3 linked regions of the Drosophila melanogaster genome follow. The protein of the gene in region 1 interacts with the protein of each later gene in a pairwise test. Each region holds a gene or a part of one and is shown on either strand. Other genes may lie near its edges.

Evidence for each region. The genes of interacting proteins can lie anywhere in the genome.
Region 2: the proteins of Ctl2 (region 1) and Cpr47Ef interact in a two-hybrid assay, tested with the Drosophila melanogaster proteins (one large-scale study listed by BioGRID).
Region 3: the proteins of Ctl2 (region 1) and Ccp84Ad interact in a two-hybrid assay, tested with the Drosophila melanogaster proteins (one large-scale study listed by BioGRID).

Annotation. Positions count from the first base shown.
Region 1 is NT_033777.3:29,121,681-29,128,790, forward strand, and holds Ctl2 (choline transporter-like 2), read left to right. Parts: upstream 1-1,689; 5' UTR 1,690-1,809; exon of another isoform or gene 1,810-2,120; 5' UTR 2,121-2,424; intron 2,425-3,724; exon of another isoform or gene 3,725-3,727; 5' UTR 3,728-3,733; coding exon 3,734-4,057; intron 4,058-4,126; coding exon 4,127-6,193; 3' UTR 6,194-6,567; downstream 6,568-7,110. Other genes in the region: yem (yemanuclein), read right to left, coding at 5-226, 282-521; dgt6 (dim gamma-tubulin 6), read right to left, coding at 7,054-7,110.
Region 2 is NT_033778.4:11,266,568-11,274,350, reverse strand, and holds Cpr47Ef (cuticular protein 47Ef), read left to right. Parts: upstream 1-1,775; 5' UTR 1,776-1,959; coding exon 1,960-1,974; intron 1,975-4,080; coding exon 4,081-4,801; intron 4,802-4,865; coding exon 4,866-4,991; intron 4,992-5,070; coding exon 5,071-5,109; intron 5,110-5,197; coding exon 5,198-5,230; intron 5,231-5,285; coding exon 5,286-5,351; intron 5,352-5,443; coding exon 5,444-5,548; intron 5,549-5,610; coding exon 5,611-5,643; intron 5,644-5,698; coding exon 5,699-5,755; intron 5,756-5,811; coding exon 5,812-5,952; intron 5,953-6,009; coding exon 6,010-6,066; intron 6,067-6,122; coding exon 6,123-6,155; intron 6,156-6,215; coding exon 6,216-6,272; intron 6,273-6,331; coding exon 6,332-6,364; intron 6,365-6,487; coding exon 6,488-6,553; intron 6,554-6,638; coding exon 6,639-6,683; intron 6,684-7,049; coding exon 7,050-7,261; 3' UTR 7,262-7,436; downstream 7,437-7,783. Other genes in the region: TpnC47D (troponin C at 47D), read left to right, coding at 209-237; Cpr47Ee (cuticular protein 47Ee), read right to left, coding at 7,581-7,783.
Region 3 is NT_033777.3:6,690,938-6,694,035, reverse strand, and holds Ccp84Ad (Ccp84Ad), read right to left. Parts: upstream 1,305-3,098; 5' UTR 1,239-1,304; coding exon 1,227-1,238; intron 1,166-1,226; coding exon 578-1,165; 3' UTR 509-577; downstream 1-508. Other genes in the region: Ccp84Ae, read left to right, coding at 2,333-2,344, 2,463-3,077.

The sequences.
Region 1 (7,110 bases):
TTACGGCTTCCGTGTTGTCGATGAATGAGTCCGACTCATCGTAGCCCATTCCAATGTCCCGGTAGTCGTCCTTTTTGCTCTTCCCCCTGCCTGTGGCATAGGAGTTGCCATACTTGGCCTCCAGCTCCTTGACGATCCGTGCCACATCGTCATCGTTGTCGGCAAAGGGATCAGTGCTTGCGGAGCCATTGGTAGTGCTCACCTGCTTCAGCTTTTTGGTCTTTTTCTACGGATTGCAAGGGTTTAGAAAGCGATCCTCCAACTGAGTTATACACTCTTACCTTTTCCAAATACAAAAGCCGGGAGTAGTTAAACTCGGGATACTTGTTCGAATCGGTCTCGAACAGATCGAGTTTGATGCGGATGCACTTGGCAGTCTTTGTCGTGGGTTTGGAGCTGTTGTCGGGTGCAGCGGACGCAGCATCAGGCTCCAGGATGTTGCTGCCGAAGCGCGAGAAGCCCGCATCGCCCTGGATGATCGAGGTGAGGGTGACGCGCTTGTGCTCGCCCCCCTTTGACATTTCCGGCGGGCAGAGTTACGGATATTCAGTGGGATAGGGTTTCCTTTGAGCCGAAAGGGCCTTCCCGCCCTTTTTTTTCGAAAGAGCCGCGTGTTCTTCGTTGCTCTTTCCCTCTCTCTCTCTCGCAGCCAAACAAAAACAACAGAGACGTCGCTGCTGCTGATGCTCCTCCTCCTCCTTTTCCGCTGCTTCCTCTTCTTCTGGGGATGTCTGTTTTAGGTTTTCTGCACGTACACCAAGCAACCACAACCACTTAATAACCGTGGCAATTTCACTCTGAGCTGCACTTTCTTGTTGTCGCCCCACAAACACTGCTTTATCAACATAAACAAATGGCGAGGACCTGCGCCGGATTGCACTACTTTAATCGCCGCCCGCTTTGCAGCTGCATCCGCCGACCACGGCCACGAATAATTGTCACTTTTCTGGGGGAATGAAAAAGTGGAAACTTTTTGGGGGGTTTCAAATTGGTTGGCTTGCCGGCACGAAAACAACACAGTCTGTAAAAGCAGCGCACCGGGGATTAAACACACGCAATCGACGCTACCAAAGGGGACATTTAAACGATTCGACCAGGCGCTTTTCGCACGGCCAGGAGCGCGATTCTTAAATTGTTTCTTGTTAAAATCCTCAACGCTACATTCTCTCCGCTCCACCCCGCACCAAAGATCCGACCCTGCTTTTGGCTTTCGCACTCGCGTTGCGCAGCACTGGTCGCGGTTTTCGCAAATTACTCCGAGCCGTTCACACTGCGCGCAGCACAAGCCGAGACTTGCTGCGGCTGGCTGCATTTGGCAATATTTAGTTGTTATGGGTGCTATGTATTTCCAAAATTCCGTTAGTTAGAAATTCATTAGCTTGGCATCTAGCTCATTTTTAAAGTAAAGTTTCGAGCTACCAAGTTGATAGGTTACGTAAAATATATAGGTGGCTTATGCTGTTGTAAGCTTAATTGTTTAAAAAGGACCCAAAATCAAAATATAATGTAAACTTTTTTATAACTTACGCGGCTCTAAAACTTTCCAACAAGTAACGAGATCTGGCTTGAAAGCGGCCAACACTCGCACTAGCTTTTGTGCATCCCTGTGCAGTGCCACATTCCACACACATTTCTGCTTTGTTTTGACCAGAACGGGCCGTTGTGCAGCACTGTTCGGCACAGCTGTTCAGAGTATGGGGCCGCGGGTGGTGGGCAGATTTTCTTGGGGCGATTCAGTATTATTTCGATTGTGAAGGAGTTTACTTCGTAGAAAGTCAAGTGCTCGCCGTTTAATTAGCGCAAGTGCAAGTGAGTCGCAGTACGTGAGCTTGGGGGCTTAATTTCATGCGCCCGCTCCACAACAAAAACAAGCGAAACGAAAAGAGTTGCATGCACAGAAATTCGAATTCGGTCGAAACTGCAAGGTGTTATTATAACGGGAATGGCCAGTGCTCGTTATCGGGTGAAAACGATTAGGATTGTGCAATTAACAAAAGTGTGCCGTGCTGCTCTTTTCACAATCCAATCCAACCCAATCCCCAACTCCCCCACCCCCAATCCCCAAGTGGCACCACACAAACACTAGCACATAAACACTTATGCTGCCTTTATGCTTGCAGCCCCACTCGAGCTCTTTTATGTATGTATGTACATATTTATCCAACGAATGCAAGTGACCGACGTCCAAAGAGCAACGTACGGGATACGGAGCTCCGACAAAGGCTTCCCGCTTTCAGTGGTCCGGTGACTTTCGCCGGAGTAGTGACTCCGTCCCAGGAAACCAGCTAAACAAAAAGCCCCCAGCCGCTCGTAAAAAAGTGTCATGAGACAATAAAGGAACTTTAAGAAAGAAAGGAAAAGCGACGAGAAGAGTGGAGCTCCTTTGTTACATCTCTGGAAGAATCGTTCGGCTCCGAAGCAAAGGTGAGTAATACTGCTTCATTACGAAATTACGGGGCCTTGTACATTTGTAGTTCCAAAAAACAACAAGGGGAAATCGTTCATATGGGAAACAAGAGACTACCATTATAAGATAAGATCAGAACTGCGACTGCTTTCTTTTATCTCAAGTGACGTAGTCCAAGGTGAACACAGTAAACACTCGATGCAAGGACAACTTAGGTTTAAACCAGTTTTCTACACTACAAATTATGCAAATGGGTTAGATATCAAAACGAACACCCGTTTTCTTATCATGTCTACAAGTTTCTTTGCAAGAAAAAAAGGTTAGCTACTGAGAGTGTTGCCCGTAGCACTGCTTGAATGATAAACTCTACTCCCAGACATTGAAATTCCTACACCAAAATGGAGTTACGGCAATCGACCTTGAAACATGTGGCCCCAAATGCCTTGCCAACCCAAATTGGTTTCCCATTTTCTATGAAAACTTGTGTGTTTTTTTGGTAATTCATCTATTAAAGGCGGCAGCCAGTTTTTCATCTCAAATGGACAGAAGCCGCACACAAAAATAAAGCGATACACATAAACAATCAAACAACAGCAACAAGTGAGCGCACAAATTTAATTTGCTTTTTAATGCGTCATTATTGCCGATTTGCGACATGCTCGAGCTGCTTTACTGCTACCTCTTCGCAGATTTTCGCATCCCCAAGAGGTTCGTACAGTTGCGATCGCTATCGTTATCAGGGGAGCTCTTAAACCGAATGAGCGATACTTTATTTATTTCTGCTCTCTATTTGCTTTCATGATTAATTAAATGAGTCTGCTGTAGGAGAATGTATTAGCAATAATTATGGATAATTCACCAGCCCATCCAAAGCCATTCTTAAAGTTCATTTATCCAGTAGAAAACTTTGTTACAGAGCTAGGTTCATTGATCATTAAAAGGTTAAACAGTCTTATTCATAAACATAGGAAGAAATATTATTTAATTGTGGTTCAATCCAAAAGGGATCGTTGGCCGCCTGTCGTTGATATAATCAAACCGCACTTTGTCGCCGACAATTTCATTTACTCATCGTACTTTCCCCAACCAAACTAACAAATAAACTAGAACAAAAAGAGCCGCTGGTGGTTGGCTTCACCGCCAACACGACCACCCACTACAGATTCGGTTTTCCATTTTTAAAACAATGACGCATGCACGGAAATAAATTACATGATATACGCCTGACAATCTCATTACCTAGAGACGACGACCCATCGATAGTGGCTCTATGTATATACATACATAAAACACTCGGTTCTTCTTGGACTCTTTCAGTAGAGAGCGATGACGGAAAGCGTGGAGCTGATGAACAAGTACGGCGAGCCACTGCGCTACGACCGGAACTTCACGGGACCGAGGCAGAGGGATCGCAGCTGCACGGATGTGCCCTGCCTGCTGTTATTCGTCCTCTTCCTGGGCGGATGGGCCTTCATAGCCCAATACGCCATCAGGAACGGCGATCTCAACAAACTGCTGGTGCCCACGGACTCCTTTAACCGAAAGTGTGGCATGGACTCCGGAGTGCTGAACAAGAAAAACCTATTCTTTTTCGACTTGAATCAGTGCATCGATCCACTTGTACCCATCACTGGATGTGACACTCCACAGGTGAGATACCATTAACATCAAATTTGCAAGGAGTTGATCTTACTTTTAATGAAATACGTATTTCAACAGGTTTGTGTGGAGACTTGTCCCCGAGAGACGTTCGTCTGGGACACTATGAAGGACAAACAAAGTTTTGCGGAGCTGCATAGTCGCCTCATCTGCTTGTCGGAGGAGCACAAGGCGCAGATTCGCACCAAATCGGACATTCAGGATGCCATTAACCAGAACCAGTGCGCACGCTGGTACATCAAGAGTGCTCCATTCCTCAAACGATGCCTCTTCGAGTTCTCGCAGGGCGTGTGTGATTATATTCCCTCGTTTCTGCTAAATGGGGGAAGGTCGAGGCGGGAGCTGCATATGTTGCCCGGAAACGCCACCACAGAAGTTCAAATGCAGGCCGATGTCATGTACCAGAAAATGACGGATGCCCAGGCTCTCGTTGTTCCACAGGCGAATGGCAAACAGACTCCAGTGGACGAGGAACCGATCATCCAGTGCAAGCGCAGACTCAACGAGGCTGTCATCAAGGAGAAGATGATGCAGACCGATACGAGGCTGGCCAAGCTCGTTGGTAACATGGTGGCCCACTTCTACAATGGCACAAACGACGCCCAGCTTTTGGGAGAAAAGATTGTCGAGGATCTTGTCAACTCCTGGTCGATCGTTTTGGTGGCTTGCTTCTGCACCCTGGTAGCCTCACTGATCTACATCGCTCTAATGCGCTGGCTCTCGGCTCCGATTCTCTGGTTCTCCATCTTCGGCGTGCTTATCGGCTTGCTGGTGGGTATTTACTTCTCCGTAAAGCAGTACATCCACTGGGAGAATACGCCTACGGTTCCCGTACACGGCTTGAATCTACACTCCACGGTCAAGAATGTCCTGCAAAACCAGAACACCTGGCTCTACCTGTCCATCTTCGTAGGCGTGTGCTTCGTGGTTATCCTGTTGCTGGTAATTGTGCTAAGAAAGCGCATCCGGATAGCGATCGCCCTAACCAAGGAGGGCAGCAAGGCGGTGAGCAGCGTGATCAGCACCGTGTTCTTTCCCATCTTCTCCTGGATACTCTTCATTGCCGCCATAGCGTTTGCCATTGGCGTGGGCCTGTATCTGGGCTCAATTGGCGATCCTTCGTTTAGAATGGTGCGACAGCTGACGAAAAGTGGCGAAGTGACCACCGAGGACTGCGTCTGCGAAGGTCCAGCCATCAACTACACAGTGGGCGGATCCTGCAAGCCAGAAGTGTTCCAGCAATATTGTAGCGTTCGGCTGACCTCATTTTTCCAGAACCGAAACCCTTGCTTGAACACCACCTGCAGCTTTGACTCGATTAACAATCCAATCGAGATTAAGTGGGCCATCTTCTACAACGTCTTTGGCTTCCTCTGGCTGAGCTTCTTCATCTCCGCCTTCAGCTACATGGTGCTGGCCTCGACCTTCGCCCGATGGTACTGGACCTTCAAAAAGAGGGATGTGCCCTACTTCACCCTTACAAGGGCATTCTTTCAAACTGCTGTCTACCATCTGGGCACCGTGGCCTTTGGTTCGCTCATCCTGGCCATCGTCCGGCTGATCCGTCTGGTGCTGGAGTACATCCACGAGAAGCTGAAGAAGTACGACAATGCGGTGACACGAGCCATCCTCTGCTGCATGCGCTGCTTCTTCTGGTTGCTGGAGACCTTCCTGAAGTTCCTCAATCGGAATGCCTACATCATGTGCGCCATTCATGGCAAGAACTTCTGCTCCAGTGCCGCGGACTCGTTTAATCTGATTATGAGGAACTTCCTGCGTGTGGTGACGCTGGATCAGGTCACGGACTTTTTGTTCTTTTTGTCGAAACTGCTGCTAACCGCAGGGGCGGGGGCGTCCACCTACTACTTCCTGGACAATAATCCGAGCATTATTCGGCTAAATTACATAGCAGTGCCCACCACGGTGGTGGTAATTGCCGCCTTTCTCATAACGAGCGTGTTTTTCGGTGTGTACTCGACGGCAGTGGACACACTGTTTCTGTGCTTCCTGGAGGACTGCGAGCGCAACGACGGCTCACCGGAGAAGCCGTTCTTCATGTCCAAGCAGCTAATGAAGATTCTTGGCAAGAAGAACAATCTGCCGCCGCGTCAGCGCCGCGGAAAGTAGGAGACAGCAGTGCAAATTATAACTTTATTGAAGTAAAACATATATATATATATTTATTATAGCCCAAAACGAAACGATCGGGGTTGTGAGCGATTGCTCAACCGGCTGCAATTGGGTTTGCATTAAATGCACGCTCCTTTGCCAATACTCTTAATCTTTAATCTAGTGTATATAATACGCCAGTATCCGTATCCATATGTAAAGTTTTTTGTGCGGCTAGACATGTGATAGGCGCGGACCATAAAGACCAAAAGTAATACCATACAATAACATGTATACAGAGACACAAAAGTACATATCTCACATTCATGAAGTTTAAGTTAACGATAATTATTATAATTTTCGAATTTAATAAAAATGAATTCATTGAAGACACACTTTTCAGTTTTGTTCTTATTTTATTTCTCCATCATTATATTCACTCATTTTTTTTTATTTTTATACAATTTGTTTCATACTTTTGCCGTTCATTCATCTAGAACGCTCAACCCACTCATTTCAGAAAGTCTGATTTTGCAAGGATGTAACAGATCGCTGAAGCCGCAATGAAGAACAATAGCTATAAGATATGACTTTTAAAAGTATATATATAATAAACCTTAATACTGCCTCAAAGGTTGTTTATTTCAATAATAATCTTAAGTCCTGAAACTCGAATTTCGAAAAGCCTGGTATACTTATAGATGTATTTAAAAGAAGAAAATTGCTTTCAAGCTGAAAGATTTTAGTTTTAATTTCATATGGGTAATATTAAAAACTAAAGTAAAAAGTATATTTCGTTTAAAAACCTCATAACCAATTAGAAAAAGAATACAAAATCTATTACCTAAACAATATTGGCCATTCGCGATTCCCGTGGACTAAAAGATAATATCCTTGAGCACGCTATCGCTGATGTTCTGCAGGTCATCCTCACC
Region 2 (7,783 bases), on another chromosome or scaffold:
AGATTCTAAGGGGCATTTCACTATTCCTAAAACAAAATCCGTCCATATTTTCCGCCTTTTATAATTGTTCCGATTGGTGTACCAGTTTAAAAAGAAACAAATTTGTATTATGAGGTTTTGGTCCAATTTCCACTTGTATTAGTACACAAACCATATTTTAGTTATCAACAATAATAATAATTAATATTATTTTGTATTTAATTTCCAGAATTCATGGAGATGATGACTGGCGAGTAAGCATTGTGGACCCAACGTATCTCATAATTGTCTACCCCCCAACACCCGAGGCTTGAATAAACGTTTTGTATTTTATTTCTACGATTGAGTAATCATAATTACGCTATAAATAATCCGCTCGTTCAGGAACCGATTGAGTAGAAAAACCCAAAGCGCGGCAAACATTCTATGGCTGCAGTGCATCTGCATCCGAGTTGAGTCATCTTAATTGCCAATTGCCACCCTCTGGCGTGCGGATTATTATTAAATTTCAATGTTTGTGCAATGGGCTGGGAGTGGGCGTGGCCGCTCTGCTCATTTGTGTGTTAATTTGGCAAGGCCATTCGGCGTATGAGTGATGCATGTTGCGCATACGCAACGTGGCCAGATGCATGCGGAGTTCTTTGTTTCAATCTTTCCGCTATTACTTGCGGCAGTGCGTGCACATTCCGTTTGCCACTTGACTGGCGTTCTGGTCCGCACAGCTGTGACCATCCCAAGCAGAATAAGGCCCACTGACAACCTGCTAGATTTTTGCCTTTCCAAACAGCCAATGTAGTATATCATAGCTATGCATGCAGGCTGGCAAATGTCAATGAGCATTCTCCTTGTTGCCAAAAGATGTCAAGCATTTACGCTAAACTTGGCCGCCGCGACATGCAGTGAGTTTGTTTTCCCAAATTCAGCGAAAAGAAGCAACTGCCCTTTCTGAAAAGTTAGCGAAAAAAAAGGAGAAGGGGCTTGGGGCAGATCGATGTGGATGGGTTGGGGTTTGGATGTTGCCACCAAGTGGAGCAACTTGTTTTGCGCAATGCTTAGTCTTTCGGCCGGAGGGTGTCGATATTAGTGGTATTTATTACCGCTTCGAATCCAGTTTTCAGTTTTTACCCAATCATTAGGTGAAAGGTCACAGACTGGACCTGGACGCCCTGTGAAAGAGCTGAAAATGTGGCGGATTGTGTTGGGTGTCAGATTTATTGACATCCGCCTGGGCAGACTTCTCAATATGCGATTCTTGACACCGAGCGCATTAAAACGGTTTCCCAAACGTGCAATTCAATGGAGATGAAGCTGAATGATGATGATGCGCTCGAGCGTTGAGCGTTTCGATTGGATTCCAATTTACGAGCACCACCAGCAGCAGTTGCTTGCTTGCTAATTTTTACCCACTAACCGAGGAGAGATGTGGCTGAGAGCGTTTGTTTAACAAGACAAGGTACATTGAGTAAACGAGATGCCGCCGTTGAGACAATAGTCAAAATGCATGGGCTTGCGGATGAGGATGCGGGGGCACCACCACCTCCTCCTCCCTTTTTCGTGCGATTGTTTTCTGCCCCAGCTGGGGACGGAGCCTCAGCTAGCACCACCACCATCACCACCACAGCTGCACACGATTGCAATAAATGCCATAAAGTATCAAAATCTCAGCACTCGCTCAGCACCGAGCTCCAAGCTGCAAGCGGCAAGCTCCGGCTGCAGTTTTCGTTCATTCCATTCCATTTGATTGCATTTGGCGCCAAACCAAGTATAAAAGCTGGAGAACTTGGGCTGCGATCGGCACACAAGTACCGTGACATTCGAGGAGCCACAACACGACACGCGGAGGCACTGCATCGCTGGTGCGGCAAAGGACTTACGTGGATTAACCCAGCTTTGTGGATAAATTAAGCAGTGGATAAATTGTGGGTGCGCCAAGGATTCTTCTTCTTAATCCTCGATCGAAACAATCAAAAGATTGCTGTCATGGCTCTTAAGTGGGTAAGTTCAGTGAAAGAGGAAAGTAACTTTGGGTTAGAAAATTCAAAAGATCCAAGTGTTCTAATGAAGAGTCCTTTGAAACTCCATATGCTGTTGTGGTTAGAAATTATTGTAGAGCTTTACTAATTTTTCCCGAAAAGTATCCTTCTTGAGATAATGACCTAGATTCAAAAATATATTTCAATGTTTGAATATAATATTCATATTTATATTCATATTTTCCGTTTTTATTCTTTTCGGATTTTTTACATTCATTACATTTTTACATTTTACATTCGAATGCAAAGATCTTAATGCTTCAAATTTAATTAAATTGATTTCATTACCCAATTTAATTTAAATGAAAGTAAAGTTACGAATTTTACCTTAGAATAAAGACATTCAATTATTTTAGTCTAGGGAATTGTCTCATCAGAAATCTGTATTAAATTGGCATAGGAATATTCTTATTCATCAAGAGTTTATAACTTTTCAGGAAACTTTGATTTAGTTAATTATTTAATCTCAACTTGGCAACTCATAAAATTCCGCGAAAAAGAACATGCCTAAACAATAGGCCACTGGAGTGTCCCATCTTGGATATTTTAGCACAGCCAAGGGTTTCCCCATTGCACTTAGCATATCCGATTGTCTTGAAAAGATCGAGTAATCCCCGTGAAACGCATAAATTAACAGCCCATTTGCAATCGGAGATGGTGGATGGCACGCAAAGTTGCCCAAGATGGTTTGGTCGTGGCCGATCCGCCCCGCCTCCAAAGCAGATCATCGAAATGGAAGCAGTGGCGACCCAATTGGCAGCCCATTTGCAATAACCGCAATTATATTTGCGGTTGCGAAACGCTGTCGAAGATGTCTGCTAGGTGGTCACGAACTCCAAGAGGCTCTCACAGACTCCTCAAGATATTCCGGCCCAAGGGGCAGGCGTTGCTTGTTTCGGTTGCATGTGCCACAGTCGCCGGATGAGTCAGTGTGGCAAATGTCAGAATTTCCACAATATTACATTATTACACTGCCCGGCTGTGGCGACAAGTGAGCTCATCATCGTGCCAATCGATGGAGCTGTTAGGTTTATGGCCCAATGGAATTCGTAAACGGTTTAAACTTCAACTTGACACTCGCTGGTCCGCTCCGCTTAGCCAACCTTCCCAGCCAGCAATTCTCTGTGGCACTCTCGGTTCACACGCTGCTGCATCTTCAGACGTCTTCTGTCTAACAAGAAGTCCATAAATATCATAGTTCGCCTCAGGCTGAGACAATGATGAGCCAGCCCGATGTTGATACTATAGTCAAGAGTCCCCGCTGCACTTGCAGCCTTAATGGGCGACGACGATCGGTTGCAACAATGGAAAACGTGAGCGGATCGGATTGCGTCGTTCTGTCAATGGACAAATGCTTCATTGATGAAATGGCCGACATTTGGCCACACTCTTGACCCCTTTGGAGGTTCCCAGCGGCGGGGTCATGATACCCACTTGGCCGAGATGTGTATCAGGGCTTAATTAACAGCAGAAACAATTCAAGGTTCTTCTTGTAATTTGAAGTTTGGAAAAAGCTTATCGTTTATTTTTGGAACGAACCATTGCTGTTTAACTTAAAATACACATTTATTACAAATAATTACCAAAATGCTATCATGAGTAAAGTACAGTTGTAAAAAATGACATAATGTTAGTAAGACATTAAAAATCGTTTAAAAGTATTTCTTAATACGAATAATTCGAAAATAATAATTTTCAGACGCTTAACATTATTTTAAGTTTAAATACGTCCTTGTGCTCAAGCAACAAAAGTTTATTCGAATAACACTTTTTATGGCGGTCGTTAAATGACTATTTCATTACATTTAGCAGCCTTTTTTCATGTTATCTTCAGATTTATGAATTAGCCGCAGTTAATGAAGTTAAATTTTAAACAATTAGCCACCCCTGCGATTTTTCACTGGCATTTATTTTGCAATCAAATAAGTCAACACGCCAAAGATTCGCTTCAGGCCAAATTGAGAACGTGGATCGCGATGGAAGATGCTGGATTCGCATGAACTTTCCATGTGCTTGCATAAATTTGTGAACTTACCGGGCAATCCCTACCTGCAACGATCTTTTTCAGGCTCTGGTGATCACGACGCTGGTGGTTGCCCAAGCAGCCAAGCTGGATAACAAATACCTGCCCCCACCTGCAAGTGCGGCCAGTGCGGGCGGCAGTCCGGGAGCAGGGCTTCAGGGCCCAGGAGGTGGCTTCGGCGGAGGTGGAGGATTCGGTGGCGGCGGAGCGGGTGGAGGTTATGGAGGAGGCGGCGGTGGCGGACCAGCTGGCGGCTTCGGTGGAGGACCAGGCGGTGGCGGTGCTGGTGGCTTTGGTGGTGGTAATAACGGACTTGGTGGCTTCGCAAACGGAAGACCCATTGCACCTGGCGGCGGCGGCGGAGGCGGCGGAGCACCCGCTCCACGCCCCAGTCCGTCAGGTGGCGCGCCACCAACTTCTGGACCTCCCATTCCGATCCTCTCATTTGTCAACGAGAACGACGGCGATGGCAACTACCGTTTCAGCTACGAGACTGGAAATGGTATAAAGGCCCAGGAGGAGGGCACCGTTAAGAACAAGGGATCTGAGAATGAAATCCCATCCGTGATGGGCTCATACTCCTACACAAATCCCGAAGGTGAACTCGTCGAGATCATGTACACGGCGGATGAGAATGGCTTTGTGCCCTCGGGCAACGCCCTGCCCACTCCACCGCCCATTCCGGAAGCGATAGCCAAATCTCTGGCTGCCCAGGGCATCTCCATACTGCCGGGTGGTGGATACAGTGGCGGTCCTGGAGGACAGGGTAAGTTTCTACAAAATAAATCAATGGATTAACATTCCATTTCATTGCTCACTTTTGATTGCAGGAGCAGGTGGCGGCGGAGGCGGTGGTTCGGGATATGGAGGCGGATCCGGATTTGGAGGCGGCGGCGCAGGAGGAGGATCCGGTGGAGGCGGAGGTGGAGCAGGAGGTGGCGGTGGATATGGATCAGGTAAGATACGAATTCAAGTCACATTTTGACCCTTTTTCTTTTTTTAGTCTTTTTTGACTTTAACTTTGATTATTTTTAGGAGGCGGCAGTGGTCGTGGAGGAGCACCAGGAGGTCCAGGTAACGACTGATTTATTTATACAATTTTTAAAAATGTTAACCCCTATTAGATTAATTTAATACTTTATCGATTCGTTTGCTTCTTTAGGTGCGCCAGGTGGAGGCGGATTCGGAGGTCAAGGTAAGTTATGTTCCAACGGCTTACACATGGATCTAAAATACTATTTATTTTTTAGGAGGTGGAGGAGGCTATGGAGGAGCTGGTGGCGGAGCTGGTCGTGGTGGTTCCCCAGGAGGTCCTGGTAAGTCCTTTTTCTAGATGAAATTTATTGTTCCTAAAGAAAATCCGTCTTAATTCACTTCATGAATTTATATTTATTTTCATATATTTCAGGATCACCTGGCGGCGGCGGATTTGGTGGTCAAGGAGGTGCTGGCGGCGGTTATGGTGGTGGCGGCGGCGGAGGACGCGGCGGTGGCGGAGCACCAGGAGCTCCCGGTAAGTTAACGAAAAGTGTTACTCCATAGATACTCAAAACTAATAACTTACTTCAACTAAAGGATCACCTGGCGGTGGAGGTTTCGGAGGTCAAGGTAAGTGATCCCGCCTGACTTTGCGGTTCAAGTTAAAACTATATACACTTTCCAGGTGGAGGCGGAGGATTCGGAGGTGGCGGCGGACGCGGCGGTGCTCCTGGCGCTCCCGGTGAGTTCATGATTTCATTCACTTTATATAATAGATAACACATTGCTTATTTTCAGGATCACCAGGCGGAGGCGGATATGGTGGCCAGGGAGGTGCTGGCGGCGGCTATGGAGGCGGCGGCGGTCGCGGTGGTGGTGGAGCACCAGGTGCGCCAGGAGCACCAGGATCCCCAGGTGGTGGCGGATTCGGAGGTCAAGGTAAGGGATTTTAAAACTTACTGCACATTCACCTCGAATAATACATTCATCTTGTAGGAGGTGGTGGCGGATTCGGAGGAGGTGGTGGTCGTGGAGGTGCCCCAGGAGCTCCAGGTGAGTACAAAACATAAATTGTTTGTTACTGAAAATAAGGAATTATTAATTAATAGGATCGCCTGGTGGAGGAGGATTTGGCGGTCAAGGTTAGTTAGCAAAACAATATTCCAGTTGCAGGTCTTAAGTAAAACATCTTCATCTTGTAGGTGGGGGTGGCGGATACGGAGGCGGCGCCGGTCGTGGTGGTGCTCCTGGAGCTCCTGGTAAGTCGATTTTAATATCTGCCTAGTGGCTTTAAAAACATACCATTCGTGTTTCGCAGGCTCTCCCGGAGGAGGAGGATTCGGAGGCCAAGGTTAGTAACTTAGTAACAGTACACTGTGCATTCCACAAAACTTACGAAATTCTTCAAGTTTCCGACTACTTGTTAAACTGTGTTATAAATATTATAATAATTAAAGTAATATTTATTTTTTAGGAGGTGGTGGTGGCTTTGGCGCCGGCGGTGGTCGCGGTGGAGCTGGAGGAGCACCCGGTGGACCCGGTGAGTAACATTGGTTTTTGTGATGAAGAGGTCACTCTCCCAATTTGTCACAACATATAGATGGTATTTACATTTTTTAATGTAGGATCTCCAGGCGGTCCAGGTTATGGAGGAGGTGCCGGTGGACCGGGTAAGAAGCATTATAGTTATAAACCCGGTTTTACAATCTGTGTGATTGCAATTGTAAAACTTGAATTAGCCTCATTCATCTTCATGAGAAAATGATGTGAAGAGCTACACTAGACAAGTGCTATTCCCACACATTTCAGTTTTTTTATTTTGACAATTCTTGTTTGGCAAAGCCTTGGTCTATTGTTTTACCCACGATCGACTAACGATCTTTCATGCATAAAACATTTCGGCTTGCACGCGGTCTCTTTGAAGTCGCTAGATTATAATAATTTTAAAGACTGCTTTAAATAATTACAACTAATCAAAGAGGGTTTACATAAATTTAATGCCACTCTAATCGCGATTGTTTCCATTTTTTATCTAGGAGGCGCCGGTGGACGTCCAGGCGGACCAGGATTGCCCGGCAATCAGTATGTTCCACCAGCGGCTGGTGGCGGAGCACCCGGCTCGCCAGGCAGACCAGGATCGGGAGGAGTTCCCGGCACAGGATCACAGTACATTCCACCTGCTCCGGGAGCGCCGGGCGGAGGTCGTGGAAACGGAGAGTTCAATCCTCAGACGGGCTATAGCTACTAAAATCAGAATTTATTCCAAAACGCCAATCAAATCTCTCAAATCGAAGAAACGTCATTTCCGTGCAGGCTGCCCTCAATGTTCTTTCGCTAAAACAATTAATTTATTTATATAAGCTTACCTCCCTCTTCCACTCTGACAATGTGTGTGTGCAACTATCGAAATAAATGATTATTATAAAATATTTGCTTATCATTTTGCGCCGCGTAAGCTGCGGAAATTGAAACAAACTGCTTGACTTTTCAGATGCATGTATTTCATGCCTTTGAGTTGCGACTACATCTTCAAACTAATCAATCATTTAAATGACATTAATTTGTCGTTATTTCTTTGGGGACTTCTTGAAGCGTCTGCCGTACTGATTATAGCCATATGGATCCACCAGGTTGTTCGGTCTGCCCCTCAGTTGTTGGGTGATTAGGGCCTGTTGCTGCTGCTCGTTTTGCTGCTCCTTCTGCTGCTGTTGCTGCTGCTGCTGTTGTTGCTGCTGCTGCTGCTGTTGCTGGTTGAGATTCTGCTGCTGTT
Region 3 (3,098 bases), about 22 Mb from region 1:
GATGATATCTAAAGCGTATCTGATAGTCTATTATCAACTGCATATTTTATTAAGCTTAGTTTGATTAGATAGACGCGCAGGGTATAAACATATCATACATTTTTAAAAAAATATTTAAAATAATATTGTTATATCTATAACTCTCAAGAATTAACTTTTTTATGTTGACTCTGTTAGTTTTAATCATAACTTCATCAATACCCTATCAATATAAAAATATCTAATGCAATCAAAAATATAAGCTGATGGTTTTAAAATTGCACATATTATTTAAACAAAATATTTGAGATTTTTTTTTTATTTTTGTAAAGATTTTGCAGTATTTTTTATAGGTATTAAATATGGCTAACACATCTAATTGAAACACATTAGAATGTCATTAATGAAGACGCTATCTCCTTGACTCAATTTTATCCGGATAAAACAAATCCGAAATTGTTTCAGCTGCCGTTGATGAAAATAGATGATCAATAGATGAAAATAAAAAAAAAAATTTTTTTTAATATTTGTGTGTATTTGTAGGAGGCAATTGTAAAACTATAACAGTAATGGGTTGAGAAACGTAAAATGACAGTTCTTAGTGGTGGTAGGCAACAGCGGGGGCGGCGTAGGAGGTGTAGGTAGCAGGAGCGGCGTAGTGGGCAACTGGAGCCACGGTCTTGACCACGGCGGGAGCAGCGTAGTGGGCAACCGGAGCCACGGTCTTGACCACAGCGGGAGCAGCGTAATGGGCGACAGCAGGGGCGGCGTAGTGGGCAACGGGAGCGGCGACGGTCTTCACAACGGGGGCAACGGCGACGGCCTTGACCAGGGGCTCACGGTTGACAACGGCGTTGAATCCGTTGATGGGATCGGCGGTGTACTGGACGGTTCTCTTGTAGCCATCGGCGTCGATCAGGGAGTACTCTCCGCGGACCACGTCGCCATCGCGCTCCTCCACCTGGCTCTTGGAGTCTCCGGAGAGGGAGTCCTGAACATCGTAGGCGTACTTGTACTGGGGATGGGGATCGTACTCCTCGGCGGCCTTGGCAAGAACCGGCTGGGCGTGAGCAACGGCGACAGGTGCTTGGGCGTAGGTGGCCACGGCGGGGGCGGCGTGGTACACCTGCTGGACGGGCAGAACACCGGCGCTGGCGGCGGCGATCAGGGCGAAGAGGGCGATGAACTGAAAGAGGGAAAGCAGTTAGGATGTGGGTCTTTGGCGGGGCTAAGTCCTCGGGGCGAACCTTGAATGCCATTTTGATTTGGATTGATTTGGCTGCTGCTGCTGCTGCTGTTGGTTGTTGGAAGGCAAAATGAACTGTGAGGGCTACTGGGCCAACACTTGGCTTATATACCGAGATGGAGCTATTTCTTCAGCTGCTGCTACCATTGAATGGCCGAACTCGCTTTTGCCGGCGGGCCACGCTCTTGGCGTAATTAGTGCAATTCATTTATGCTAAACGTGTGTGGAGAGGGAAAAGTGAAGCTTGAAGGCGTGCTCAATCTTTGTATCTCTGTGTTTTGTCATCAAATAACTTCAATTTATCCGAGAGAAACGGAGAGCGTGCGCTGTGACATCACTGCTTACTAAATCCAGTTAGCTTACAAGACAGTTAATATTGTGGCAAAAAGGTCGCTTAAAAAGATATTAACTCAAAACATCTAAATTATCGTAGCTTTATTAAATTAAAATTATTATTTTTTATCACCCACCTTTGGTTTCCAAAATTTGAAGATAGTTCACAGGCGAACAGCTTTTTAACATGCTTAAAACTTTTTTTTGTAACATATTTGTAATATTTTATGTAGGTTAATAAAATTATACAACTTTGTAGGAAATGTGTTTTAAATACATAATAATCAAATTATGATCCCAACATAAAATATTCATTATACCTCACCAAGACAAACCTATGGATACAAACTCAAAACGTATTTAATAATTTGACTAGCAAATATTTAAACAAATAAGATCAGAACTTTTATTCCCTTTTTATAAAAAATGGGTTCAATTATACACACTTACTTTGTTGTACTTTCCAAAAGAAAAACAACAAAATTGAATAAGAAGACTCCAAGTTTAAGGAAAATAGTAATTAAAATTGGCTTGGCGTAATCAATTAAGTGCAGCTGGTTATTTCGACCGATCGAAATTGGCAGAACTGAAGAAGGTGCGTGACAATTTTTACATGCCACCGGCGCCGCTCGAGGTGATGCGCCAAAAATGAATTCCAATTAGGTGTCATCAATGTCACCAAGTAGCGTATAAAATAAACGGCCCACAATGGGTCAGACATTCAGTGTTTGGCTTCGGCTCAAGACAGCAGTTAATCAAATTCATCCAACTACAATGGCAGCAAAGGTTTGTGCTACCAATTGGAGGATAAACGTTCCGGGGGACTACTAGTGGATTACCAGACTGCCTTCGCCTTTTTATCTTGGAAAAAAAAATCCTAAAAAGAGTGTAATTTATTCCGCAGATTGTTATCGCTTTGGCTCTGTTCGCCGTGGCCCATGGCGCCGTCCTTAGAACTGCTGCTCCAGTGGCAGTGGCTTCTGCTCCGGTGCCAGTTTTGGCCAAGACCGTTGAGTTGGAGGAGGTTGATCCGCATCCTCAGTACACCTACAGCTACGACGTGCAGGACACGCTTTCCGGCGACAACAAGGGGCATGTGGAGGAGCGCGATGGTGACGTGGTCCGCGGCGAGTACTCCCTGATCGACGCCGATGGCTTTAAGCGCACCGTGACCTATACCGCCGATTCCATTAACGGATTCAACGCCGTCGTCCGCCGTGAACCCCTTGCCGCTGTTGTGGCCGCCGAGCCGTTGCTGAAGGTTGCTGCCCCATTGGTCAAGGCCGCTCCAGTCGCCCCCATCGCCCCTGTCGCCTTGGCCGCACCAGCTCCCATTGTGCGCTCCGCTCCAGTGGCCGTCGCTGCTCCTCTGATCAAGTCCGCTCCCCTAGCAGTTGCCGCTCCGTTCGTCCGCTCCGCCCCTCTGGCGGTGGCTGCTCCCGCTCCCGTTCTGCGTACCGCTGCCTATGCCACGCCTCTGCGGTACACCGCCCCTGCGTACACCGTCGCCCAATTGTAAACACCCATGCGACCGCTGTTA